Anolis sagrei: one gene and its partners. The protein of the gene in region 3 interacts with the protein of the main gene of each other region in a pairwise test. Links are inferred from orthologs where the notes say so. Each region holds a gene or a part of one and is shown on either strand. Other genes may lie near its edges.

Region 1 (7,090 bases), on a different chromosome or scaffold from region 3:
CCACAAAGTGGAGTCCACGACATGCAAGTGTGGAGGAGAGCAAACCACAGACCACTTATTACAATGCAGCCTGAGCCCTGCCACATGCACAAGGGAGGACCTTCTCACAACGACATCAGAGGCACTCCAAGTGGCCAGATTCTGGTCAATAGAAATGTAGTATCATGCCAAGTTTTTAAACTGGTTTTTCTCTACATTATAACTGTATTTTCATTTCACTTCTGACACAATAAATAAAATAAATACTAACTGCAGAATCCACCACTTGGAAGGATGATAACAGATATATTGTTGAAGGCTTTCGTGGCTGGAATCACTGGAGTGTTGTGTATTTTCCGGGCTGTACGGGTATGTTCCAGAAGCATTCTCTCCTGACGTTTTGCCTGCATCTATGGCAGGCATCCTCAGAGGTTGTGAGAATGCCCGCTATAGATGCTGGGTTTTTGTTTTTGGGGTTTTTTTGTCGTGTCAGGAGCGACTTGAGAAACTGCAAGTTGCTTCTGGTGTGAGAGAATTGGCAGTCTGCCAGGATGTTGCCCAGGGGATGCCTGGATGATTTGATGTTTTTATCATCCTTGTGGGAATCATAGAATCAAAGAATCAAAGAGTTGGAAGAGACCTCATGGGCCATCCAGTCCAACCCCCTGCCAAGAAGCAGGAATATTGCATTCAAATCACCCCTGACAGATGGCCATCCAGCCTCTGCTTAAAAGCCTCCAAAGAAGGAGCCTCCACCACACTCCGGGGCAGAGAGTTCCACTGCTGAACGGCTCTCACAGTCAGGAAGTTCTTCCTCATGTTCAGATGGAATCTCCTCTCTTGTAGTTTGAAGCCATTGTTCCGCGTCCTAGTCTCCAAGGAAGCAGAAAACAAGCTTGCTCCCTCCTCCCTGTGGCTTCCTCTCACATATTTATACATGGCTATCATATCCCCTCTCAGCCTTCTCTTCTTCAGGCTAAACATGCCCAGCTCGTTAAGCCGCTCCTCATAGGGCTTGTTCTCCAGACCTTTTATCATTTTAGTCGCTCTCCTCTGGACACATTCCAGCTTGTCAATATCTCTCTTGAATTGTGGTGCCCAGAACTGGACACAATATTCCAGATGTGGTCTAACCAAAACAGAATAGAGGGGTAGCATTACTTCCCTAGATCTAGACACTATGCTTCTCTCATGTCCCCGCATGAGGAGCTGGAGCTGATAGAGGGAGCTCATCCACCTCTCCCCGGATTCAAACCTGCGACCTGTCGGTCTTCAGTCCTGTCGGCCCACGGGTTTAACCCACTGCGCCACCGGGGGCTCCATAGATGCCAGTGAAACATCAGGAGAGAATATTTCTGGAACATGGCTGTACAGCCAGGAAAATACACAACACCCCAGTGATAAGAGATAACTGGAGATGATGAAGCAACAGAAAAACTCACCCAGATTATAAATTCACCAGACTTCCTGGACTATTAAATTCTTTCAGGGGAGGTAAATGCTACAAGCATTGAAAAAGACTAATCTAGAATTTACCTTTGTTTCCATCTTTTCTCCATCTGCCTATCCATTCTATCCTCTCACTCTACCCATCCATTCATACAGAGCTTGAGTCAGGCGAATGCTCAGATAGGAACAACTTTCTGCCTCTCCAACATAGAGCTTGAGTGCATCTACACTGCATCCACACTGCAGAATGAATGCAGTGCATCTACATTACAGAATGAATGCAGTTGTACACTACTTGCTACAGGATTGTGAGATATGTAGCTTGGTAGGACACCAGCTTTCTTTGATAGAGAAGGGTAAAGAGCTTGTAAAACTGCAGCACCCATGATTCCATATCATAGAACAAAGGCAGTTCAAGTGGTGTCAAAACTGCATTCATTCTATAGTGTATATGCACCTTCAATTTCCCCAAATTCACCCCATTAGTAAGGACATGCTGGTGGGGGAGGATTCTGGAACTTGCATTCTGAAAAGTCCCTTGTTCAACTGGAGCTGCGGTGGCACAATGGGTTAAACCCTTGTGCCGGCTGGACTGCTGACCCAAATAATAAATAATAATGAATCTTTATTTATATCCCACTTTTCTCCCTCACGGAACGCAAAGCAGCTTACAACATATTAAAATCACATAAACAACAATCAGAATGCATCAATAATAAATATAAGCACCATAAGATAAACAAATTTAAGAAAACAACTACAATGTACATTCACATCCATGAAGCATCATATCGAGAGATATATTGCACTTCGCTCCAGTCCATAAGGTTGGGTTGCTGACCTGAAGGTTGCCGTTTCAAATCCGCAAGACGGTGTGAGCTCCCGTCTGTCAGCTCTAGCTTGTGGGGACATGAGAGAAGCCTCCCAACAGGATGGTAACACATCCAGGCATCCCCTGGGCAACGTCTCTGTAGACAGCCAATTCTCTCACACCAGAAGCGACTTGCGGTATGTTCTCAAGTCACTTCTAACACAATTAAAAAAAATACTTGTCCAACTTTTGGTGACACATCAGACACATTGCTTGTCTCCACTTTAATCACCATGGCTTGATGTGATGGAATGATGAGATTTGTAGTTTTGTGAGGCACCAGCACTGTTTGCCAGAGGATGTTAAAAAACTACAGCTCCCTGGATTCCATTCCATTGCACCTTGGTACTCAAAAGTGGTGTCAAACTGCATTCATTCTACAGTGAAGATGCACCCTGACAGCGTTCTCCCCTTTTAATAAAAGGAAGATTGTAAAATCTTCCTTTTACAAATGTAGCAAACACTAGTATTTCATATGAAGCATTTCATGCCTTTTGCCTATAGATTCCAACTCACCGTGCTATCTTTAGCCAGACCAGCTCTCTACAGAAAGTTCTCTTCTTACTTGGAAAAGTTGGGTGCTGATGGAGAGAAGAGCTGCCCTCCTCCGCCGCCTCTCTGTTTCGTTCCCTCTCTTTCTCTGTGCGTCTTTTTCTCTCTCCTGCCCTGGAGAGGAGGCGAGAGAACAGTGCTGGCCGTTGGATTTTCTGGCTCAGCACACTGCCGGGGTGTGAGCAAGCATATGTGCATCACTCGCTCACACTCACAGACACACACATACACACACACACAGACACTCCTTTGCTCCCTGTTCAATTTGGAAGCAGAGGCCTTCAGACACGCAAGAAACCCCATGAGATCATAATGGGAATCACTGATAAACATCTTGGCACACACCGCAAAGGCGATGCATGCACAACTTTTGTGTTCCAACACACTTGTTCCTGTAATTTCCATCACACTTCCCCCCTTTCTGTTTACCGTATTGCTTTCTCTTTATCGCTGCCTCTGTCTTGTTTTTCCTTCCTTCCTTAGGAGGAAAAACAATCTTCGTTAATATATTTGATTGCTATCCTAAGAACCCTATTTTGTTTACTTTCCCCTCTTTTGTCCCACACTATAGGAGCATCTACACTATAGAATGAATCACAAAATCATAGAATCCTACATTTGGAAGAGACCTCATGGGCCATCCAGTCCCAACCCCATTCTGCCAAGAAGTAGGAAAATCGCCTTCAAAGCACCCCCAACAGATGGTCATCCAGCTTCTGTTTAAAAGGCTCCACCTCGAGAAGGCGGATCTGGCCAAGGTGGTCCAAGCCTTAGTCACCTCTAGACTGGATTACTGCAATGCACTCTACATGGGGCTGCCCTTGAAAATGGCCCAGAAATTTCAGATGATCCAACGGGCGGCAGCCAGGTTGTTAACCGGGGCTCTTTATAGAGGGAGGTCATCCCTCCTGTTTAAGGAGCTCCATTGGCTGCCTTTCATCTACCGGACCCAATTCAAGGTGCAGGTTCTTACCTACAAAGCCCTGAACGGTTTGGGACCCGCCTACCTGCTTGACCATATCTCTGTATACGAACCCACACAATCTCTTCGATCATCCAGGGAGGCCCTGGTCTCGATCCCACCAGCATCGCAGGCGTGATTGGTGGGGACGAGAGAGAGGGCCTTTTCGATGGTGGCCCCTCGACTCTGGAACTCACTCCCTAAAGACATCAGACAGGCTCCAACTTTGGCAGTCTTCAGGAGGAACTTCAAGACGTGGCTGTTCCAGTGTGCCTTCCCAGAATAATGATCCCATAGCACTTTGTCCTCCAAAGCACTTTACATTTTCTAAGTCTGCTCGTATGCCCTTTCACAAACACCAGTATCACCTTCTGTTCATGTCCCAGCATATTTCCAATTTTAACTTTACATTTGGCCTCCCCTCTGTTTTTAATTGTGTGTATTTTATAGATAATGTTGTTTATCTTATTCTCTATGTTTTTAAATTGCTTTATTGTTGTTTTATTGCTTGTATTGTTGTGTTTGGGCTCGGTCTCATGTAAGCCGCACCTAGTCCCTTGGGGAGATGGTAGCGAGGTACAAATAAAGTTAATAATAATAATAATAATAATAATAATAAAGAAGGAGAGTTCCACTGCTGAACAGCAATCACAGTTAGAAAGTTCTTCCTCATGTTCAGGTGGAATCTCCTTTCCTGTCGTTTGAAGCCACTGTTCCATTGTGTTCTAGTCTCCAGGGCAGCAGAAAACAAGCTTGCTCCCTCCTCCCTATGACTTCTGCTGACATATTTATACATGGCTATCGTGTCTTCTCTCTTCTCTTCCGCAGGCTAAACATGTCCAGCTCTTTAAGCCGCTCCTCAGTTTGTCACTACTTTAGCTGCCATGGTTCAGTGCTATGGAATCATTGGAGATGGTATTTGTTGAGGTATCACCACCTTGGGTGATAACCGCATTGAGTCGCCGAATTAGGCTGAAAAATGCGGTATAGAAATAAAGCAAATAAATAAATTGGGGCAAAAATGGTGAAAGACCTTTTTAAAACTACAGGTGCCAGGATCCCAAAGCATTGAGCCATGGCAGTTAAATTGGTGCCAAACTTCACGTGTAAATGTGTTTACATGCAAACATATTCCCTCCTGAACGGAGTTCCAATTTTCTTGGGTGTGTGTGTGTGTATGACTTCATGTTCATGCCAAACCCATCAAATCCACTGGCATTTTTAGGCAAGAAACACCCAGAGGTTGTTTGTTTATTTATTTTATTTATTTACTGTATTTATATTCCGCCTGTCCTGGAGGTATTTGGGGGCACTCATTCTGAATATTGCATTAGATGGTCCACATTAGCTCTAGTTTCTTAGATGTGGCAATCCTTGATTTTCTATGGGTAAGCACTGGTGACTGGTAGATGGCATATGTTCCAAATCTCAAAAACTAGAACTGAGAGGTGAAATTTGGTGCAATTTTTGGAATGGTCAAATATACCCAAAAAGATATCTAATATCTGAGGCATAAAAATAGGGCTGGGCTTTAGCACAGCAGATTAACCACCAACTGAAAGGTTGACACTTCGAAGACTGGGTCAGGGTGAGCTCCTGGCCTTTAGCCCACTTTCTGCCTACCTAGCACTTTCAAAAACAGCAATGTGACTAGATCAGGGGTCCTCAAACTTATTGAACAGAGGGCCAGGTGACAGTCCCTCAAACTGTTGGAGGGCCGGATTATAATTTGAAAAAAAACATGAATGAATTCCTATGCACACTGCACATATATTATCTGTAGTGCAAAAAACACTTTAAAACAATACAATAATTAAAATTAAGAACAATTTTAACAAATATAAACTTAGTATTTCAATGGGAAGTGTGGGCCTGCTTTTGCTTGATGAGATAGGATTGTTGTAGTTGTTGTGTGCTTTCAAGTCGTTTCAGACTTAGGTTGATCCTGAGCGAGGGCCAGGTAAATGACCTTGGAGGATCGTATTCGGCCCCCGGGCCTTAGTTTGAGGACCCCTGGAGTAGATAAATAGATACCGCTTAAGCAGGGAGGTATTTAAGGCACCCATAACGAAATGCCAGAAAAAGGCTGGCAAGTCAACCAGGAAGGAAGTTTACGAACAAAGCTCTTTGGCAAGGAAAGTGGAGCAACAGCACCCCCGGTGGCAAGAACTGAGCAAGCCTTCAAGATGTCGAAGATGGGAAAGCCTATATAGTTACCTCCATCTATATACAGTTGTCTGACTTGTCTGTATAATAGCTATTGAATGTTTGCCATATATGTGTTCTGTAATTGGCTCTGGGTCCCCTTCAGGGTAAGAAGGGCGGAATATAAATACTGTAAATAACAATAAAATAGGTTGTTGTAGGTTTATGGCCATGTTCTAGAGGCATTCTCTCCTGACGTTTCACCTGCATCTATGGCAAGCATCCTCAGAGAGGTAGTGAGGTCTGTTGGAACTAGGAAAATTGGTTTATATATCTGTGGAATGACCAGGGTGGGACAAAGAACTCTCGTCTGTTGGAGCTAGGTATAAATGTTTCAACTGACCACCTTGATTAGCATTTGATGGCCTGGCTGTTGTTTGGTGTGGCTTGTTGGTGCCTGGGGCAATCTTTTGTTTCCTCTCTGTTGTTTTGCTGTTGTAATTTTAGAGTTTTTTAAATACTGGTAGCCAGATTTTGTTCATTTCCATGGTTTCCTCCTTTTTGTTGAAATTGTCCACATGCTTGTGGATTTCAATGGTTTCTCCGTGTAGTCTGACATGGTGGTTGTTAGAGTGGTCCAGCAATCCCCAGGCACCAACAAGCCACACCAAACAACTGCCAGGCCATCAAATGCTAATCAAGGTGGTCAGTTGAAACATTCACACCTAGCTCCAACAGACAAGAGTTCTTTGTCCCACCTGGTCACTCCACAGATATATTAACCCATTTTCCTAGTTCCGACAGACCTCACTACCTCTGAGGATGCTTGTCCTAGATGCAGGCGAAACGTCAGGAGAGAATGCCTCTCGAACATGGCCATATAGCCTGAAAAAAACCTTACAACAACCCAGTGATTCCGGCCATGAAAGCCTTCGACAAAAATAAAATATAAATATAAATATACATGTTGGTCAGTGTTATAAATAGGGCCTTATCTGTGGTGACACTGCCCTGTGGAACAGAGTATGAAAATTCAATCATAACCTTTCCCATTCTGACCACACTCTGAAATTGCTTCATCTGATTTTCATTTGTCAAATGCCAAAGGATGTGATTCCTATCATTCTCCTGAT
Region 2 (7,005 bases), on a different chromosome or scaffold from region 3:
TTCCAAAAATGCACCTGCCCGGTCCCTGCCATTCTGGGTGTGATAACAGAAGAGGCAGCCTATAAATAAATTCCAGTTATCATATTTGTATTATAAAGGGGAAACCACACTCTTCATTCATACTCAATTTCTAAAACTTATGAACCATGAAACTGGCTCAGCCAGGTTTCACTTAGCTAATCATCACTGTCAGGCAAAGCAGTACTCCTGGACTATGGAGGAGATTGATAGTACAGCAGGTCAATATAGAGGCAGACTTTTAAAAAGAAACATTCCGCTAATAATTATTTGCCCTGTACAAAATCAGAAGTTCTAATAAGGATGTAAGAAAAAAGCAGAAGGTCTGCAAAGGGTATAAGAAACTCCAAGCAATTTTGTGGACCTCCTAGCATCATGGGTATAAAAATTTAGTTTTGGGAGTCGAAATGCCTTCAAATGCCCTCTACAAGAGTGGGCGTTTTCACTAGGTTTTTTTTTGTTCCTAGAGTGTGTTTTGACAGATGGGGCAAGAAATATGATTTCTGCAAGGGGTTCAGGGAGGAAAATGTGGCTCCAAAGTTTCCTGGGAGCTAATATTTCCACATAGCCTTCTACAGTTGCCAACTCCCAGATTAAGATATAACAACAACAACTGCTTTGCAACTAGAATATTGGTTCTCTCTCTCTCTCTCTCTCTCTCTGTGTGTGTGTGTGTGTGAAAGAGAGAGAGGGAGAGAGAGAATAGGGCTGTCATTCCTGTCCAGATAGTTTTCCATCCGCATGTCCAATTAATGTAATGGCATTTGGGTCATGGATCAGACAAAGATCAAAAGAAAGTGACATTCATCAGGGACACATAATAATAATAATAATAATAATAATAATAATAATAATAATAATAATTTATATTCCACTCTATCTTCCCGGAGGGACTCAGGGTGGATTCCAAGCATAAAAGGCAAACATTCAATGCCCGAATACAACAATACATCCACACTAACAAAATTTAACCAACCCAGCATATAAACACAAATTATGACTTAACAACTAAAATTAAATGAAAAGCACAGCCTGTTATAGCAGACATAAGACAAAACATCAAACATTGAATGGAAACAATAATTTCCGAGTTCCTTGGGGCAAATCTGTTAACATCAATTGTCCCAAAGATTTACTTCTAAACTATTTAACTTATTGTATATACTCATTTATAACCGTAACCCAAAACCTTCCCTCGATTTATACATGAAATAGACTTACATATGAGTACATATGATACTTCTATTTTGAACCACTATACTGGACATAGGTTTGGAAATGGTTAGGTTGCATGTTGGCTCCTCAAACTAAAATAACATATTTTCCCATTCACTGATCTTCAGCCTTTGGGGTGTAATAGAAACTAAACAGTAAACGAAAACAATTGCCCATATTAATTTACACAATATACAAAAATTCATATACAATCCCTCTAACTCCCTTGTGTATGCATGCTTTGCAAACAAAACACAGCACTCCCTTGAGATCACTTTAAAAGGCAATTTGGTGCGATGAACGCTTTATAATGGGTGTTTGGCAGCTGTAATTGCTACTTCGCATGATGGTTATGTAGTCTCACACAGATTACTGAGCCCACTGTCTCCCTTTAGCATAGTCTTCACTACTTCAAAATATATAGCCAGGATCATCTAAGGCCTCAGAAAAACAACAAGAAAAGAATACAAAAGGCTATATAGAGTTTTGCTACCTTTTAATGACCCCGTTTCCAAATACACAGCTGCCAAAGGAACATATAAATATCTGAAATCATTTCCCCAAAACAATATAATTCCATCTCCACATATCGCAAAAGACTTCTCCTTTGTAATTGTTTACTTTGAGAGAAGAAGAAAAAAACCCATGACAAATGTGATAAACTCCACAAGTTGTCAAGCACACACAGGAGGATTGCTGAAATTCCACAAAGTTAAAGATTCCCACATACTTTTCTAGAAAAATATAGAGTTTATTTAAACAGGGAACATTTCTTACTTGCAGGTGTTCCACTTTAGTATGCAAAATTGTAGCCTCAAAGACGATAAGATAATTCTCAGTTTTTAAAACAAGCAATTGGGAGGGGTGTCTTTTGAAAATTAAAAATATTTTTTCCAGATCTACATACAGAAGTCAGATCATACAGTTATATTAAGGAACCCCCAAATGACAGGCAGTCTCTCTCTCTTTGTGATAAATGAAAAAGACAATGCATTTCAAGACAAATCATGTTAAATAATTGGAATAGCAAATCTACCTGCTGTCCCATTGAACTTTTTGTGTGGTAGACTGGAATAAGATTGTACTATTGTAGTGTAGTGGTTTGAGCATTAAATCATTGAACTGGAAGAGACCCAAAGGCCATACAGTCCAACCTCATGCCTTGCAGGAAAACACAATCAGATCACCCTTGATGGCCATCTAGTCTCTACTTAAAGACCACCAAAGAAGGAGACTCTAGAAACCACTTTGGTTCTTTGCTCAGCCTTGGAAACCCACTGGGCAGCCTTGGCTGAGTCACACAGTCCAAGAAAAGCTCCTGATAGATTTGCCTTAGGCTTTCCATAAGTCACAAATGTCTTCAAGGCACACAATAGCAATGTCACCCTATATTCTCTTCCCTTATCCAGTGAAAAGATAGTAAGACACTGAACTCTCTTGACATTTTAACAACATATAAGCATGTAAAGATAACCTCTGATGAAAGGGAACACCGGCTCTTGATTACCTGGTGTGAGGTGTGGGTTCTCTTTAAACTCTGTGGTGTATGCTGATGTTCCTTGCAAATAACAGAAGAAAGGAAATCCTCAACATTCCTTTAGGACTCTTCAGGTTCTCCCCAAAACAGCACTGCAGGGTGACAAAAGGAATGGCTCCTGAACATGAAAGCACTATCCTTTTTGCGCTTACCTTGCTGGATGGCGTCTGTGTGTTCCAGTCAGGGAGTGAGGCGAGACAAAGGCCGGCACGGAGGCTTACTGCTTTATTGGATTACCCAAACTATGTATTTAGCAATTAGACTGTCAAGAGTTCCCTTGCCAGATGAGCTATAAATACAGTTATCTCCAAAGAAGCAGCCATCCTGAGCGATAAGAACCAGAGCATCTCCGCAGGAGACGGCCTTTTAAGGAATCATTTGTTAATGGGGCCATGCATTTGTGATGGGAGCAAGAACAACTTTGCTCCCTTTATTCGTGAGGCCATTCCGTATCTTCCACAGGGCTAAGCATGTTTCTCTCTAGAACATTTTTACAACCAGTGAGTCCTATACAAAGCTTAGACTGATTTTTTTCAGGACTGCAACTCCAGAATGCCCAGTAGCCATGCTAACTGGGGTATTCTGCATACTACTACCCACAGAAATAATTATTATAAATGTTGACCACCAATTGGTTTCTGTTTTTCCTGCCTTCCACCATCCTGCATTCAGAAAATGATCTACACTTCAATTCCAACAATGATATACACTCCTGATTTGACTGCGACAGTTTTGATTAATTCTCTGTCAGCCCACTTTCGCAGTTGCTTTGAAAATGTTCCAGTTTCTGACTTCTCCTCCCACTTTTCCCTTTTGTCCTTCTTCAAATGATGCAAACTAAGGGGCCTTCTACACATGCAGTAAAACCTGGAAGTAACTGGGATAAAAGGGAGTGGGATGTCTAAAAGATGTTTGTAGAAAGTGCAGAGAGAATCGGATTAACAGCTGAAAAGCACGTGTTTAAAAAGTGAGCTTAAAACCCGATTCTGCCCAAAAAATGCAAATCTATGTGTAACAGTATATCTCTGCAATCATGGAAAACACATGACTTCCTTCCCATCCCCTGTGTGGACTGCTCCAGCACATGTGTTTTAAAAGCCCAAAACTGTCAAAAATTGAGTCATGGACACATGGGTAGCTAACAGGAAGCACAATCAGAAAGCAATTAGAACTCTCTGCAACCATGCCTTTCTTTCTTATAATATTAAACAAAGCTTGAATTAACAGTTGGGTGAAAAGAGAGATTAGAAATCTGCTTGTGTGTAGTAGATCTCTGCATGTGTGCATATGAGATCCAGCACATTTCTGAGAGAATTTCTTTTTTCAAAAACTTCTACTGGATGTTCCTCTTCCCTCCCCCATCTTGATTTGCTTCAAAGGAAGGCATAAGGATGGTGAGGGACCATATCCTGGGACTGACAGGTCTGTGTGTGAACTTGCTCTCAGATCCAGGATTTTTTCCCCAGTTTTTAAACTTGCATTTTGAAGCTATCTGGAAGTGCCTTAAATTCAAAATGCAAAATTTGCTTGCAGTTAAGAGGCCAGAGTCCTGCCCTTCCCACTAGACTCAGGCAAAGTCAAATTGCTGTTGCTTCTCCCAGCTTGCCTGTTATTCACCATTATATTAATGGGAGTTGCTCTATTGTAGCTTTGCTCAGATGGCATTTCTTCGAGTCATGATAAGTCTTCCTGTGAATAATAGTGTGCTTATGAGTAAGGCAAAAAAACTGTGTTTAGTAAACCACATATACAAAGGGAAGATACCGAGGAGAAAGGAGTGTTTGGGTACCTTCCAGGTGATGGTCTGAGCTCTATCAGTCAAAAGGCATATTCCTGGTATATTGATAAATGCCAAATAAAGGAATGCTTGAATAGGGTCTTCATAGGAATGTTTAAAGAGGTCAAGGCCTCCATACGCACTCAGTACTGCTATTTAATCTTTTATTCCTTATTGGCTTTGTGTATGTGTGTATATCAAGGGGAAAAAATTGAAGAAGCACAAGAGGATTAGAAATGAAAGATCACCCAAGCAACTGTGGCTTTGGGTTGGAAAGACCATAGAAAGTAGAAAGTTAAAAAATGGTGTGAATATTTAGCAGATTATATGCTTCAGGATTACATCTATGAAAGAAGAACCAAATATACAATAAGCAGATTTAAGAAGACCTGGGTTCAGAAATGGGAAAAAGTGATAGAAAAAGTCAAATGAAACAAAAGATATAAAGAGCTGGACCATTCTCTTTTCACGATTGTTCAATTAAATTAATATCTGCATAATGATAAGTACTGTTCCCTGAGGGTGGGGGAGGGGGGAGGAGGTGAGGGGTCTAAAATTGTTAGACAAAAGGGGAGGTAAAGATGAGATTGATAAGATGAAATCTGACATTGTCTTCTCTCACCACTACATCTCTGTGCTCAAGATAAAGAATGTAGCCTGGTCAGTGAAGGAACATGATGGGAACAATCCTCTTCTTGAAGCTGCTACCTAAGAGCCCTTCCACATACCCTATATCCCAGAACATGCACTCAGATAAGCCAGTTCAACTATGGACTCAGATAAGCCAGTTCAAAGCAGATGTTGTGGAATTTTCTGCCTTGATATTCTAGGATATAGGGCTGTGTGGAAGGGTTGGGTCCTATAACTTGTCCCAACCTTTTCTTCACAATGATAGGTTCCAGAGTTTGGAAAATGTATTTTTGCAGGTTCTGGAAGTCTGGGAATTGAAGAAAGGTGGCATATCTGAAGTCTTGGGATGTGTTTTGTTGTATGGTACACCCACTCAGAGAGCTATCACTCTGCATTGTTATAGAGCTATAATTCCCTTCAACAACCATTACAACATTATATGAAATCCTAGAATTTGCTAAATCCCAAGATTTTGCATTTAGGAAAGGGCATTTAGAATTCTCAGACAGAGACTTCTTGAACCTCACAAAACTACAAAGCTCAGAATGGGAAAGAAAGTTGTCATGGTAGTTAAAGCAGACAATATAACAATATAGTGTGAGATCTCCGTTTATTTTTAAGAGAGTTGTGCACTAACCCATGCTTGCCTTAGTAAGTAGTGGCTCATTCTGCTGTGGACAGAGAACCTCTTTTATGCTCCTGTTGGAAACTGTTTGGAGGCTCTCTGGGTTCTGTGGCCCAGAATGTGAGTTCCAGCCATAACTGAGCTACTGAGCACTTGGCAAAATCACCTCTTTTAAGAGGGAATTGTACAAACTCATTCCACATATACTTACACAATTTTAATGGTAAGCCAACATATTGGTTTCTTTTTTAATTGTCTCTACATGTATCTGGAAGTTCCATCTGTCTCCATGTGTGATGTTACCTGATGTGCTTGAGATAATGTCCTTAGTTTGCTAAAGACAATCCGATCAGATTGGGAGCATGCTGACTGTCAGAGGGAGCCCTGATCTCCTTAACCTTTAAGACAAAAGCTCTATTCGGATGTGCTATTATTTGGCCTTAATTAGCATGCATAGAGCAAGAATGAGTAAGACTTTGGTTGCTTTTCTCATCATCCTCCAAATGTCAGAAGTGTTCAATTTTTTTTGAGCGACAATTCCCAAATACGCCAGCCAGCATATTCAGTGGTTCAGCTTGTAATAAGCTTACTTTTTCCAATAATAAAATATGACAAAGCTTCCCTATGAGGTTGCTCAAACAGATAACAAACTCTGAGTTCCTATCAACTTTGGACTTCCATCTTATGGACTTACATATTTGTAGAGAAGAGTGGAGGTCTGTCCCTATAGCGATTGCAATAAAGCCTTTCAATTGCAAATCACTCCATGAAACTTTTACTCCTTCCCATCCCATTGTTTTCTTGAAGTGTTCTTGACCCCTTGTAGCTTGCCTTCACATTCATCACACTGGGGAAGGCTTGTCAAATTCTCTCTGTTTCCCCCCTCTTCTCTATCAGCCGAAAAATCTCTCTTTTTCTCTTTCTCTTTTTTCTCTGCTGCTTCTGCCACCACCTCCCCAGCCAAACATTGCTCTCCATTGCTCTCTGTCTGCAATAGCTGTCTCTCATTTTGCAGCAATGAAACACGACAGGGGAGTATAGTTTCTATTCCATGTGTTTTAGCCTTAAAAAGTGGATCAAATCACAACAGCAGCTCAAAAGACTTTTACTCAGCCATGGTGGGAGCTCCTTTCTTCAGGCTCATTTCAATGATGGATGGAACACATGGCAGCTGAAAGTAGTTCAACATCATGTGATGGGCTC
Region 3 (7,199 bases):
GGGAAGACAAAAGGGACAGAAGGAAGGAAGGAAGGAAAGAAGGAAGGAAGGAGAAAGAGAGGGAAGAGGGAAGGAAGGAAGAACGAAAGCGTGGAAGGGAAGGGAAGATGGAGGGAGAAAGTATTTATATACATTTTATATATATATAATAGCTTTTATATAATATATATAAATCACTATGTAACTGGAATTGCTTTATAAGATATTATGTGTGTGTAAAAAACACTATGTAACATAGGAATTGTTTTATAAGATATAAAACATATATCACTATGTAACACAGGAATTGTTTTATAACATATATATGTTATAGTGTTTTATATTATATATATATATAATATAGGTAAAGGTAAAGGTAGTCCCCTGACATTAAGTCCAATCATGTGTGGTGCTCATCTCCATTTCTAAACCGAAGAGCCAGCGCTGTCCGTAGACACCTCCAAGGTCATGTGGCCGGCATGACTGCATGAAGCACTGTTACCTTCCTGCCGGAGCGGTACCTATTGATCTACTCACATTTGCATGTTTTCGAACTGCTAGGTTGGCAGAAGCTAGGGCTGACAGCGGAAGCTCACGCCGCTCCCCAGAATCGAACCTGCGACCTTTCGATCAACAAGTTCAGCAGCTCAGTGCTTTAACCCACTGCGACACACGTTATAGTGTTTCATATTATATAAATATATATTATAGCATTATATATATGTGTGTGTGCTTGTTATTATTATTATTATTATTATTATTATAGTGATAGAATTGGATTTCATCCCAAACTGAAGCACTTTGACCCATCTGCTAAGCTGTTCCCAACTGCTCTTTGTGCAGGATTCTCACACAAATCACAACCTTAAAGACAAGGAGTCCAATCCTCCTTAACCTGAATTATCTTCTTCTCTATCCAGGATTCTCATGATTTTTCTTTGGATCACAACTTTTAACTCACAAATAAGACAAGATCTCGTTTTGCATGGGTTGTCATTTAACATTAAGACCCAGACATGTGATTTGAACAAAGTTTGGACAGGAAGTCTGAAATATTCTCGACCTTTATCCTCCAGATGTTTTTGGACTTCAATTGCAAGAAATGTTAACTATTGGTGATGTTGGTAGGCGCTTCTGGGAGCTGAAGTCCAAAATATATTGAGATATATTACCACCAACTGCCGCTCTGGGCCAGAGTGAAGAGAGGGAAGGCCAGGGGACAGTTCCATCTTGTCTCCTGTGTTATGCTAGTAATATAATATACTATATTGTATATACATATAATATTTACAATATTATAATGCAATACAATATAATACTACTAATAATATAATATAATTATATATTTTATATTACATGTAATATTACTAATAATATTACAATATAATGGTATAGTACAATATAGTAATATATAATACTGATATTGTACTATGCTAACAATATAATATATCAGTGGTTTTCAACCTTCTTAATGTCATGACCCCTTAATACAGTTTCTCATGTTGTGGTGACCCCCAAGCATAAAATTGTTATTGCTACTTCATATCTGCAACTTTGCTACTGCTATTATGTAAATATATGATATGCAGGATGTATTTTCATTCACTGGAGCAAATTTGAATACTGGTGGGGTTGGGGGGATTGATTTTGTCATTTGGGAGTTGTAGTTGCTAGGATTTATAGTTCACCTACAATCAAAGAGCTTTATGAACTCCACCAACAATGGAATTGAAACAAACTTGGCACATATAACTCCCATGACCAAGAGAAAATACTGGAAGGGTTTCGTGGGCATTGACCTTGAGTTTTGGAGGTGTAGTTCACCTACATCCAGAGTCCTCTGTGGACTCATAGAATCATAGAATCAAAGAGTTGGAAGAGATCTCATGGGCCATCCAGTCCAACCCCCCGCCAAGAAGCAGGAATATTGCATTCAAATTACCCCTGACAGATGGCCATCCAGCCTCTGTTTAAAAGCTTCCAAAGAAGGAGCCTCCACCACACTCCGGGGCAGAGAGTTCCACTGCTGAACGGCTCTCACAGTCAGGAAGTTCTTCCTCATGTTCAGATGGAATCTCCTCTCTTGTAGTTTGAAGCTCAAACATGGATTGATCTGGACAAAACATGAATACCGAATATGCCCAAATATGAACACTGGTGGAGTTTGGGGAAAATAGACGTTGACATTTGCGAGTTGTAGTTGCTGGGATTCATAGTTCACCTACAATCAGAGAATTATGAACCACACCAATGATAGAATTGGGTGAAACTTCCCACACAGAACCCCCATGACCAACAGAAAATGCTGATGGTCTTTGGCGACCCCTCTGAAACCCCCTTGCGACCCCCCCCCCCGCCAGGGGTCCCGACCCCCAGGTTGAGAACCACTGTAATATATTGTATGCATATATATAGCCGGTCTGATGTAGGAAAGATTGGGATATAAAAGTTTTAAATAAATAATATATCTTGTAAGCCGCTCTGAGTCCCCTTTGGGGTGTGAAGGATGGCATATAAATGTTGTAAATAAATAAATAAGTAAATAATAAATAGAAGGTAATTTTATACAATGCTTTGACTAATGTCGTCCGCCAGAAAGAATCTACACCGAAAAGTTAACCCAGTTTGAACTACAACTTGAATGGGAAAGGCTCGAGGCTTTCATTCCACTTTGTAGAAGTCCATCACCCCAACCCCAGCCCTAAGGGGGCGGGGCCATTGGAGCCAAGCCACGCCCCCTCATAAGCCCCGCCCACCCGCTCCCCCCCCCCTCTCTTTTCGGCCTAGTCTTTCTGAGGGAGAAAACCGGGCCTTTGCGGCGGTTCCGGCGCCGTGAGGAGAAACCCCGCCAGAGGAGGAGGCCCCGACCCGGCAGCTCCATCCTCAGCCGCCCGCCGCAGGAAGAAGCGAGGTTACCGTTTGCCTGGCCGAATTCTCGTGGTGTTTGGGAAATCGGGTGGCTCTGTGCGATAATGGCGTCCTTCCTCGCGAGAGATCCTCCAAGGAGAAAGCGACTGCGCAGGCGCACAGGCAAAGGGCGCGCGCGCTCGCTCTGCCTCCCTCCGCTGGGCTTCTCCTGGCGCAGGCGCAGTGGAAGCCTCCCACCACTCGCAGTCCCAGTGGTATGCCGGCCGCCGGACTACGGCTCCCAGAGAGCTTTGCGCGAAGGGTTGCTTCTTCGCGCCTTCTGGGGGTTGTAGGGCGAGAGAGGGAGGGCGCAGTGCGCGCTGGGAATTGAAGTCCTTAAACCCAAAGAGTGGCTCAGGCTTGCATCTTGACATTGCAACTGCAAGTGTTCCTCCAGATACAGCAAATACAGTACACACACACACATACACACACACACACATATATATATGTAAATATAATATTATACATACATATTATAATATATATACACAATGTATGTTATAATCTATATATATATATTATACATACATATTATAATATATAGAGAGAGTGTGTATATATTATACATACAAATTATAATATATATATAGAGAGAGTGTGTATTATACATACATATTATAATATATATATACATAATGTATGTTATAATCTATATATATATAATATTATAAATACATATTATAATATATAGAGAGAGTGTGTGTATATATTATACATACATATATATATACGTAATGTATGTTATAATCTATATATATACACACATACATACATATAATATATAGAGAGAGGGTGTGTATATATTTACATACATATATACATAATGTATGTTATAATTTATATATATAATATTATAAATACATATTATAATATATATAGAGTGTGTGTATATATATATATATTATATATATACACATAATGTATGTTATAATCTATATATATATACATATTATACATACATATAATATATAGAGAGAGTGTGTGTGTATATATATAATATTATAACATATATATACATAATGCCAGATGTTCAAGCTGGGTTTAGAAAAGGCAGAGGAACGAGAGACCAGATTGCCAATATCCGCTGGAGAATGGAGAAAGGCAAGGAGTTTCAGAAAAACATCTACTTCTGCTTCATTGACTACTCTAAAGCCTTTGACTGTGTGGATCATAATAAATTGTGGCAAGTTCTTAGTGGGATAGGCATACCAAGCCACCTTGTCTCTCTCCTGAGGAATCCGTACAAGGACCAAGTAGCAACAGTCAGAACTGACCACGGAACAACAGACTGGTTCAAGATTGGGAAAGGCGTACGGCAAGGCTGCATACTCTCACCCAACCTTTTTAACTTGTATGCAGAACACATCATGCGAGAATGTGCGGAGCTTGAGGAATCCAAAGCTGGGGTGAAAATTGCTGGAAGAAACATTAACAACCTCAGATATGCAGATGACACCACTCTGATGGCCGAAAGCGAGGAGGAGCTGAGGAGCCTTCTAATCAAGGTGAAAGAAAAAAGCGCAAAAGCCGGATTGCAGCTAAACGTCAAAAAAACCAAGATTATGGCAACAAGAATGATTGACAACTGGGAAATAGAGGGAGAAACCGTGGAGGCCGTGACAGACTTTGTATTTCTAGGTGCAAAGATTACTGCAGATGCAGACTGTGGCCAGGAAATCAGAAGACGCTTACTTCTTGGGAGGAGAGCAATGTCCAGTCTCGACAAAATAGTAAAGAGTAGAGACATCAGACTGGCAACAAAGATCCGCCTAGTCAAAGCCATGGTCTTCCCTGTAGTAACCTACGGATGTGAGAGCTGGACCTTAGGGAAGGCTGAGCGAAGGAAGATCGATGCTTTTGAGCTGTGGTGTTGGAGGAAAGTTCTGAGAGTGCCTTGGACTGCGAGAAGATCCAACCAGTCCATCCTCCAGGAAATAAAGCCTGACTGCTCACTGGAGGGAAAGATACTAGAGACAAAATTGAAATACTTTGGCCACATCATGAGGAGACAGGAAAGCCTAGAGAAGACAATTATGCTGGGGAAAGTGGAAGGCAAAAGGAAGAGGGGCCGACCAAGGGCAAGATGGATGGATGGCATCCTTGAAGTGACCGGACTGACCTTGAGGGAGCTGGGGGTGGTGACGGCCGACAGGGAGCTCTGGCGTGGGCTGGTCCATGAGGTCACGAAGAGTCGGAGACGACTGAACGAATGAACAACAACAACAACATGTTATAATCTATATTATATATAGATTATTTATATAAAATATAATATATATTATGTTATATAGGTATTATATTCAATAATATATTATACTATATATAAATTAAGTTATTTTAAAATTTATCATATATTATAATATAATGTATATTGTAATCTATATTATATATACAATATATAAAGTATAATATATGTTATGTTATAAAGGTATATATAAAGGTAAAGGTTGTCCCCTAACATTAAGTCCAGTCATGTCTGATTCTGGGGTGTGGTGCTCATCTCCATTACTAAACCGAAGATCTGTTGTCCATAGACACCTCCAAGGTCATGTGGCCAGCATGATTGCACGGAGCACCATTACCTTCCCGCCGGAGCAGTACCTATTGATCTACTCACATTTGCATGTTTTGAAAGTGCTAGGTTGGCAGAAGCAAGGGCTGACAGTGGAAGCTCACGCCGCTCCCCGGAATCAAACCTGCGACCTTTCGGTCAACAAGCTCAGCAGCTCAGTGCTTTAACCCACTGCACCACCGAGGGCCCATAGGTATATATATAAAATAATATATTATACTATATTTAAATTATTTTATTTAAAAATGTATCATATCATATAATATATATTATAATATATATAAATAATATGTTTTATATTATATTATATTATATTATATATATATATATATATAGACACACACACACGCACATGTTTGTTTGCATGCTGCAAGTCGCTTCTGGTTGCTTCTGGAGTGACAGAATCAGTTGTCTACGAAGATTTTGCCCAGGGGATGCCCAGATGTCTTGCAATCCTGCAAGGAGGCTTCTTTCATGTCCCCCTTAGAAAAATAGTTTTCTAAGATCTACATAGACACTCGCTGGAACACCCCAGCAAGCAAGAGTCCAAAAGTGGCAGGCTCAAACCCAGAACCTCAATTGTGAGGGCTCTCATTTGGCTGATACCAAATGAGAGACTCCCTCCTGGGCAGACAGAAAACTGGGCGACTTGGAAGGCGCTGAACAGACTGCGCTCTGGCACCACGAGATGCAAAGCCAACCTCAAGAAATGGGGCCACAAAGTGGAATCCACGACATGCGAGTGTGGAGAAGAGCAAACCACTGACTACCTGCTGCAATGCAACCTGAGCCCTGCCACATGCACAATGGAGGACCTCCTTGCGGCAACACCAGAGGCACTCCAAGCGGCCAGATACTGGTCAAAGGACATTTAATCAACTACCAAGCTTGCAAACTCTGTTTTGTCTGTTTGTTAAAAATTTGTTTAAAATGTAATACAATTGTCTGGTTGATACTGACACGATAAATAAATAAAATAAATAAATAACATGTTTGTTTCTTCTGTCAATGCTGTGTTATGATGGGATATTTTTTCTTGAATCAAAATAAAACGCACCATAGTAAACATCGTTTTTCTTCCTTGTTCATTTATATGCAGCCATCAAAGTTCATGGTACTTTATAAATCAAAAAACTAAATATACTTAGTATTTAGATAAGACCACTTTTAAAGAAGAACATCTGCACTGCCCTGGCTCGGTGATCTAGAATTCTGGGAGTTGTAGTTAGGTCAGGCACCAGCCAGCCCTCTTTGGCAGGGAAGACTGAAGACCTTGCCAAACTACAAATCTCAGGATCCCATAGCATTGAGCCCTCGTGGTTCAAGTGGATTCAAACTGCAGGACGGAACCGGAGTCCCATCCACACTGTCATATAATGCAATTTTAAATGGCAGTATATGACCAGTATAGGCACATATAATGCAATTCAAACTATATTGTATGGATTTGTGTTGATCATATCATGGCATTCCAAACTTCACTGTATGGATTGTCGAAGCCTTTCATGGCTGGAATCACTAGGTTCTTGTGGGTTTTTTTGGGCTAAGGGCCATGTTCTAGAGGCATTTCTCCTGACGTTTCGCCTGCATCTATGGCAAGCATCCTCACAACCTCTGAGGATGCTTGCCATAGATGCAGGCGAAACGTCAGGAGAAATGCCACTAAAACATGGCCCTATAGCCCGAAAAAACCCACAAGAACCTTCACTGTATGGCTTTACGTTGACCATATAATGCA
Region 4 (7,457 bases), on a different chromosome or scaffold from region 3:
TCCAATGTAGATATGAGAAGATGGGTGAAACTCTAGTGATAGGCACTTAGTATGCGATTGATCTAGGTTACAGATAATTTCAAGTTTGACAAGTATGGGGTGTGTGTGGAAGACACTGGGTTGTTTTCCCCAATTACAACTTGCTGTGGCTGTTTATCTAGGGTGCTGCTCCAACAAATTACAATCAAAGATGATACCACACAGAATTAAGTAGGAACAAGCTTGCCTAAACCTATCCTTACTGGTGTCTTTTTCACAACTGAGATTTCCTTCAAATGCCTTTTTTCTTTACAGGGATGTCTCACAACAAATAGCCACCGATGAAGGAAACCTGAATCAGAACTCTAAAAATGCATCTGCTTTCCCTAGGAGTATACTTATATAAGGCATAATTAGTTTCAAAGAGCTTCCTGCAAAGTCATGCTTTTGCAAAACCATATTAAGAAGCATTCAGAGTCAAAGGTATAAAACCCCGGAGGCTTTCGCTCTTATAGACTGAATCCTCCACCTATGCCAAGAGCCAAATCAACACACTTGATCCCCCAAAATATGTGCAAAGTCAAATATGTGTGGAGGGGGTGGAACTTGCTAGGAGCTTTCTGTGTAAGACCCCAGAGAAAAGTGTTGGTATGACTAGGAACAAGAGAATCTAGGGCACAGCTGACCTACTTTTTATCCATACTCAGATCCTGCCACATCCCTTTAAAAGGATCAAAGACTCCCCCTCCCCCATGCTCATGTTGTAACAGGACAGAATAAATCATTATTTTCAAAAAGGTTCTGTGAAAAATCAAACCTTTCTGTATCCTCGACAGGTGTGAAAGTTGTTTTTCTCTCCCACATCTAAACATTTTTTCCATTCCCTGGTTTAATCTAAGACTGGAAATAGAAGGGACTCTAACGTCACTTTGAAAAGCCTCTGTACAATTTCAGGCTCAGCTGGAGAGAGCAATCCCTTGAAAACATGGGAACCAGGCTCTTAGCTTGAAATTGTTCCAGTCAGAATAAATTTACACCTAAAAACGAAGTTGCTGCAGAGATCCAGTTAAGATAACTCGGTAGCTTAGAAGGAAGGCAACCAGCTTTGGCATAAACTGAATCTATCCAACACCCTTACAATGAAAAATGGCCTACAAATCTACTAACTGAGATAATGATAAGAGAAAGGGAAGATTCTTACCCCTTCTATAGGGATCCTGGGATTGGAAGTCAGCCCATATTGGTGGAGTTGCAAAGCTCTTGGCTCTCCCCGGACTCTCCTGAGGGAAGAGGGAGAGGAGAGAGTCCCATATCTTTGAAGTGAGCCATACTTCATGACATTTGATCCAAGTCTGATTTCATCCAATAAGCGGATCAAAAACAAGTTGGCAGGAAGCTCTTCGATTCTGCAGAGGACAGGGGCTCGGCATTCTGGGCATCTCAACTCCTTGTGTAATTTCAGGATTCTCTGGAGGCAAGGCTTGCAGAAAGTGTGTTGGCAGGGGAGCACCTTGGCTGAAATATCCAGCTTCCCCAAGCACAACGGGCACTCCAACATGTCAAATAAAGCTAAATCGCCCATATTAGGGCAGTTGTTACACTATTATTTTAATGTTAAATGGAGAGCTGGAAAAATCCACATAATGTTTATTGGAGTAAAGGACAGTTGCTCAGGAATATTTCACCATGAACCTTGTGGATTCATGTAATTTTTGAATCTGAAAATCAACATCCTGTGTGAAGAAAAAGAAGAGAGAGGGGGAAATTGCAGAACCTGACAACTTCAGTGTTATGAAATGTATGCCACCTACATTTTGTAGCAATGTTTCATGATCCAATTTGCACCATGTATTCCCTGACAACCCCACACAACCAAATTTAGCAGAAAAATAATAATTTGCAAATAAATGCCAGTGAGCAGAATTGTTGCCTAATGAGTGTCAGGAAAGACCCATGTTTCATTGACTAAAGATTAAAAACAAGAGAAATTAATTTTTTCCATGATGTGATTCTCCCAGAGCAATACAATCTTCCATGGGTGTACTGATGAAGGATCATTCTACCTTAAAACAATGCACCCCCCAAAATAAACATCCAGTGAAAACAGTAAAATGTGCACACCAGATAAAGAAAGAAGGTGTTCCACTGACACACATGGCTTAACACACTCTACCCTTTTTATTCTCCTTTTCTAAATCAGGCATCGCTTACACATACTCTCTGAGAACCACCCACAATGTTTCGCATTATCTTAAAAAGCATTGCTGAATTTTCTATATTTTCTCATTTGCAAGTCACTTTGATGGCAAACATTGCTTTGGCGTACCTGGAAGTTCAGACAGCATTTCTTGATTTCAGGGACTGGCAGTATTGTAGCTTGCTTTGATCGTCCAAAAGAAGGGGGGAAAACCCTCCCACTGCCTAAAAGCAACTCAACCTGTTTAGCACCTTTCCGACAGTTTGCAAGCTAAAGTGAAACAGATACTTAATCCTGAATTCAAGTCATGGCCTGCGGAAAACCTGCACCATCCCATATTACACCAAGGTGCCTGTGTATTCAAAATCAGGAAAACATACTCAGATCAGTTCTGCCAAATGGTGCTCCTGTCCTTCTATATCCTAAACCTTGAAAAATCTTGCGTTATATAACACTTCAAATCATTAGCCGGCCACTGAACAAGTTACACACTACTGGGAAGAGTCATAAGCTATAAGTGCTAAAGCTTTTCGCAGAGTATGGCTTCCATTTGAAGGAGGAAACTGTGAAGAAAAGGAAGAAAGGAAGAAAGTCTACTAATTTTTGGCAGTACCACTGACCTTGTGTTCATGACCCCTTCAAAACGAGTTCAGCTCACGGAATAACTGCTCCTGGTGTTGCTTTCCCCTTTTCTCACTCTCCAAATTGCAGCCGCATTGAAAACTTTAACTAGGTGCATTACTCACTTAGCTCAACTTAACACATGCTGCCTTGTTAACTCATAGCTTGCCAGCCTGTGACTCCTACATATACTTCAGGCAAGTGAGAACAGGGAAACAGAATTATTAACTAAGAAAGAGGAAACCGTTGGTGCATTTTTCTCCTGGAGGAAAAAAAATGCTTGAGCTAATCTGGCTTTGTACCAGTGCAACTTTGATCAATAAATTGGCTCAGCCTTTTTTTTATGAAGCCAATCTGTTTTAGGAACCAAGGAGGAGGTGTGTAGAAGGGTGAGAAAACAAAACCATGGAGAGTCTGCACACAAAGGCAAAGAAAAACATGAAGTACACAAGGAATGCAGTTGTGGGGGGTTAAGATTGTAGTCCAGTACTGGTTTCCCTGGGAGTGAGCCCCACTGAAATTCAAAGGGACTTACTTCTGAGTAGATATATACAGATCTGTACTGTACCAAGGCAGAGCAAAACATGAGATGTAATTGACTTTTTGTGGGATGGCTGTGTTTATATAGGATTAAGTCACAGTGTTTAAAAAGTTTCTTTGCAACATTTTCACTGCAGAATACAAAACATGAGAAATCTAAAATAAGAGCCTAAATTGGCAAGCATAGTACTGGTAAAAGAGCCAGCATATTATACCTCGGTGATACTTGTGGGCTTCTCTAATAATCTAGAATTCCAGTAGGATGGTATAGGAGTTTTTTTAATGCTCCCCTAAGGGACAGTTTTTATTGTTGTGGACAACTACTTTAGGAAAGCATTGCCTTCAACTGAAATCTTGATGAAGTGGACTTCTCCTGCCCTGTCCACTCAGCCTATATGTATAGGTGTATGTTGACAAGATTATTGGAGAGGTGAGAGTGACCACGTGCATCCTGGACCCGTCTATCCTAGCTGATAAAGGAAGCCTGGGGGTGGGGGTTGGCAGAGTGGGTAAAGGTGGTGGTTAATGCCTCCCTTTGGGAAGGCAAAATTCCAGTGAACTTAAAAGAAGCTGTGATAAAACCTCTGTTGAAAAAACCTTCACTGGATTCCACTGCTTTGAACAACTTTTGACCAGTCTCCAACCTCCCCTTTTTGGGCAAAGTCTTGGAACGTGTGGTTGCCTTGCAGCTCTAGGGGTTCTTGGACGAAACTGACTATCTGGATCCGTCGCAGACCGGGTCATGGAATTGAGACAGCCATGGTCGCCTTAGTGGATGATCTCTGCAGAGCGCTTGACAGGGGAGTGTGTCCCTGTTGCTTCTCTTGGACCTCTCAGCGGCCTTCAATATCATAGACCATGGTATCCTTCTGGGTCACCTTGCAAGGATGGGCCTTGGGGGTAGTCCTCTGCAGTGGCTTCAGTCCTACCTGGAGGATCATATCCAGAAGGTGTTTTTGGGGGAAACCTGCTCGGCCCCGCAGCCATTGTCCTGTGGGGTTCCGCAGGGCTCAGTATTGTCTCCCATGTTGTTTAACATCTACATGAAGCCATTGGGTGAGATCATTTGGAGTTTTGGAATTCGACGCCAGCGGTATACTCCTTTCCACCGGTTTCTAAGGAGGCTGTCCAGGTTGTGAATCGGTGCCTGGCTGCAGTGACGGTCTGGATGAGGGTGAACAAATTGAAGTTGAATGAACACAAGATAGAGGTCCTCCTGGTCAGTTGCAAGGCTGAACAGGGTATATGTGCTGGATGGGGTAACACTCCCCTTGAAGACACAGGCTCACAGCTTGGAAGTCTTCCTGGAGGGCACATTGCTGAGCCTGGAATCTCAGGTTGCGGAGGTGGCTAGGGGAGCTTTTGCACAATTAAAACTTGTGCACCAGCTGCGCCTGTACCTTGGGAAATCAGATGTGGCCACGGAGGTCCATGCTCTCGTTACATCCAGGATAGACTACTACAATGCACTCTATGTGGGGTTGCCTTTGAAGATTATTCGGAAGCTTCAAATAGTCCAATGGGAGGCAGCCAGGTTAATAACTGGGGCAGTATACAGGGAGCATACAACTCCCATGTTATGTCAGCTCCACTGGCTGCCTGTTTACTACTGGGCGCAATTCAAAGTATTGGCTTTGGCCTATAAAGCCTTAAACGTCCCTGGCCCAGTTTACCTGTCCAAACACATCCCCCTTTATGAACTACCACAAAGACAAAGTCTTCTGGGGAGTCCCTGCTTTCGGTCCTGCCACCGTCACAGGTGCCTTTGGTGGGGATGAGAGGCAGGGCCTTCTCAGTGATTGCCCCCGGCTATGGAACTCCCTTCCTGGCAATATTAGATAAGCCCCCTCCCTCCTGTCCTTTACAAGGATGGTGACCAAGCCTTTGGGCAGTTCAATGAGGCAATAATAGAATCGTGTCCTGAGATGGTTTTAAACAGTTGATTTTAAAGTCGATATAACTGATGTTAATGTTTATGTATATTAATAGTTTATGTCCCAGCATTAAATTTTTCTGTATATTGTGCTCCACCCTGAGTCTGCTGTGGGATGAGAAGGGTCTAATATAAACATTTTAAATTAATTAATGTTATAATGTTATAACTTCTGTCCCTAGGGTCCTCTGGAGCCACATGAACCAATAAAAGTGCCCTCACTCAGAAATCTGAATGTGGCTGGAGCTCCTTCTGGTTTAGATATAAATATACATATTAAAGTTAAATAGTTTAACAGGGAAGGGTGGAGTATAAGCTATTTAAAAAGTAAATTGCTAATCCTGGAAACCTCTAGGAAAAGCAATATTCCCTTTTTAATGACAAGTAAAAGGACAGTTGAGAAGTCTGGATGGGCTGAAGGTTGGAAAGGATACATTTAGCCCTAGAGCCCATTGTGTCCACACAAAATGTACACATATATGATATATGCACACATGTGCTCACAATAATGATTGTAATATAATCAGTTGGCGTTGCATTGAGGAGCTTCTCTTGGGTAAGGAAAAGTTGGATACAAAGTAACTGGGAGCCTGTGGGCGGAGGCAGGCTCCCAGTAGGGTGGATGCAGCATGACATGAAGTAAGAAGGAAAGGAACTTGTAATTCTTGTAATAAATGGTCCTATTCTTTTCTCTACCTCATTTGCAGAAGTGACAGCTACCTTCAGCTGAGAAGAACCACAAGAGGCTTACAGTGTTTGGCATTTCTGCAATTATAAATGTATTTTATCTCAGTCCACCTTTTTTATATATTCACTCATCACTGGAAATTCTGACAAACTGTCAACATACATTACAGGGTTTTATGGCTGTACGTTTATTAATTTGTCATTCATTTGTTTTACAATTACTTCCTTGTAAACTGTTATGCAGCATCAAGAGGCCTGACCAAATGGCATACAGGCAGTTCCCAAGTTACAAACAACATAGGTTCTGTAGGTTTGTTACTAATTTGAATTTGTATGTATGTCAGAGCAGATACATTTTTCAGTGTAACTCCAGACATATATGTGGTGTTTGTTTTGTTGCCTGTGCCCAAATTTCACGAAACTTTCTGTCTCTGCAATAATCAGATTTTGAAACATTTGGCTTGTTGTGGAAACAAGGATAGGAGAGAAACCTTCAGCTGAGACACCTTTTCTCCATGAGAATACTTTCAGGAGTGAATTTCTCTTCCTGGGGTAGATTTCTTTCACTTCCTATTTAGTGGAGTATCTAAGTGGAGTATCTTGCATTTGTCACTGTTGAACTTCATTTTGTTAGTTTTGGCCCATCTCTCTAATCTGTCAAGATTGTTTTGAATCCTGCTCCTGTCCTCTGGAGTATTGGCTATCCCTCCCAATTTGGTGTCGTCTGCAAGCTTGATGATCCTGCCTTCTAACCCTTCATCTAAGTCGTATTGAAACATTTGGAAGACCCTTTTTTGTGAGCTGTTCAACAAAGGAAATGATTTCATCATAGGTCAACAGACCCTCCTTCTTTGGATTTCTTTAAACAGAAGTTGATGGGTATCTTTCAAGAGTGCTTTGGTGGTGTATTGCTGTATGGCAGGAGGGTGGGCTAGAGCTGGCATGGGGAAACTTCAGCTCTCCAGGTGTTTTGGACTTCAACTCCATAAGTCCTAATAGCTGGTAGGTCCTTCCAACTCTATTATCCTGTGGGTCTATCATTTTAATGCTGTCCCTTGTTTGTATACTACACATCTACATCCTCATTTTGCCTTCTTATTTTTTATTTATAATCATTCTTTAAAATCTAGTAAGAATATGACTTAAAGCCCCTAACATAGAAATAAAGAAGAAGGCCAGAAGCAACTCCTCCACTTAGCACCCCTCCCACCATCACCACTAGATACACATTGAACTCAAGGGGCTATACAATTGTATCACTATTATCCCATTTCAACTGCCATGGTAAAATCCTGTGCAATTCTAGGATTGACAGATTAGGGAGGAATATTTTCAGTATTCAGACAGAGAACTGCTCTAGTGCCAAACTACAAACACCAGGATGCAGACAAGTCAGTTAAAGTGGAACCATAATACTATAATTGAGCATTGTGAGAACCCCCATTGGAGGGGGGGGGGCTATATTTATTACTAGCTGTCCCCTGCCACGCATTGCTGTGG

The links.
Region 1: the proteins of BANP (region 3) and TNXB interact in binary tests that used the Homo sapiens proteins (3 or more experiments, as listed by UniProt). The two-hybrid records come from large-scale screens. The link is inferred for Anolis sagrei from reciprocal best matches to the Homo sapiens genes BANP and TNXB.
Region 2: the proteins of BANP (region 3) and FHL2 interact in binary tests that used the Homo sapiens proteins (3 or more experiments, as listed by UniProt). The two-hybrid records come from large-scale screens. The link is inferred for Anolis sagrei from reciprocal best matches to the Homo sapiens genes BANP and FHL2.
Region 4: the proteins of BANP (region 3) and SH3RF2 interact in binary tests that used the Homo sapiens proteins (3 or more experiments, as listed by UniProt). The two-hybrid records come from large-scale screens. The link is inferred for Anolis sagrei from reciprocal best matches to the Homo sapiens genes BANP and SH3RF2.

What each region holds. Positions count from the first base shown.
Region 1 is NC_090022.1:15,434,145-15,441,234, reverse strand, and holds the start of TNXB (tenascin-X), read right to left. Parts: upstream 3,026-7,090; 5' UTR 2,816-3,025; intron 1-2,815. UniProt on the Homo sapiens protein: Appears to mediate interactions between cells and the extracellular matrix. Substrate-adhesion molecule that appears to inhibit cell migration. Accelerates collagen fibril formation. May play a role in supporting the growth of epithelial tumors.
Region 2 is NC_090023.1:105,899,801-105,906,805, forward strand, and holds the start of FHL2 (four and a half LIM domains protein 2), read right to left. Parts: upstream 3,028-7,005; 5' UTR 2,923-3,027; intron 2,915-2,922; exon of another isoform or gene 2,741-2,914; intron 1-2,740. UniProt on the Homo sapiens protein: May function as a molecular transmitter linking various signaling pathways to transcriptional regulation. Negatively regulates the transcriptional repressor E4F1 and may function in cell growth.
Region 3 is NC_090028.1:25,809,858-25,817,056, reverse strand, and holds the start of BANP (protein BANP), read right to left. Parts: upstream 3,015-7,199; 5' UTR 2,896-3,014; intron 1-2,895. UniProt on the Homo sapiens protein: Controls V(D)J recombination during T-cell development by repressing T-cell receptor (TCR) beta enhancer function. Binds to scaffold/matrix attachment region beta (S/MARbeta), an ATC-rich DNA sequence located upstream of the TCR beta enhancer.
Region 4 is NC_090022.1:97,525,388-97,532,844, reverse strand, and holds the start of SH3RF2 (E3 ubiquitin-protein ligase SH3RF2), read right to left. Parts: upstream 3,020-7,457; 5' UTR 2,797-3,019; intron 2,413-2,796; exon of another isoform or gene 2,306-2,412; intron 1,713-2,305; 5' UTR 1,562-1,712; coding exon 1,181-1,561; intron 1-1,180. UniProt on the Homo sapiens protein: Has E3 ubiquitin-protein ligase activity. Acts as an anti-apoptotic regulator of the JNK pathway by ubiquitinating and promoting the degradation of SH3RF1, a scaffold protein that is required for pro-apoptotic JNK activation.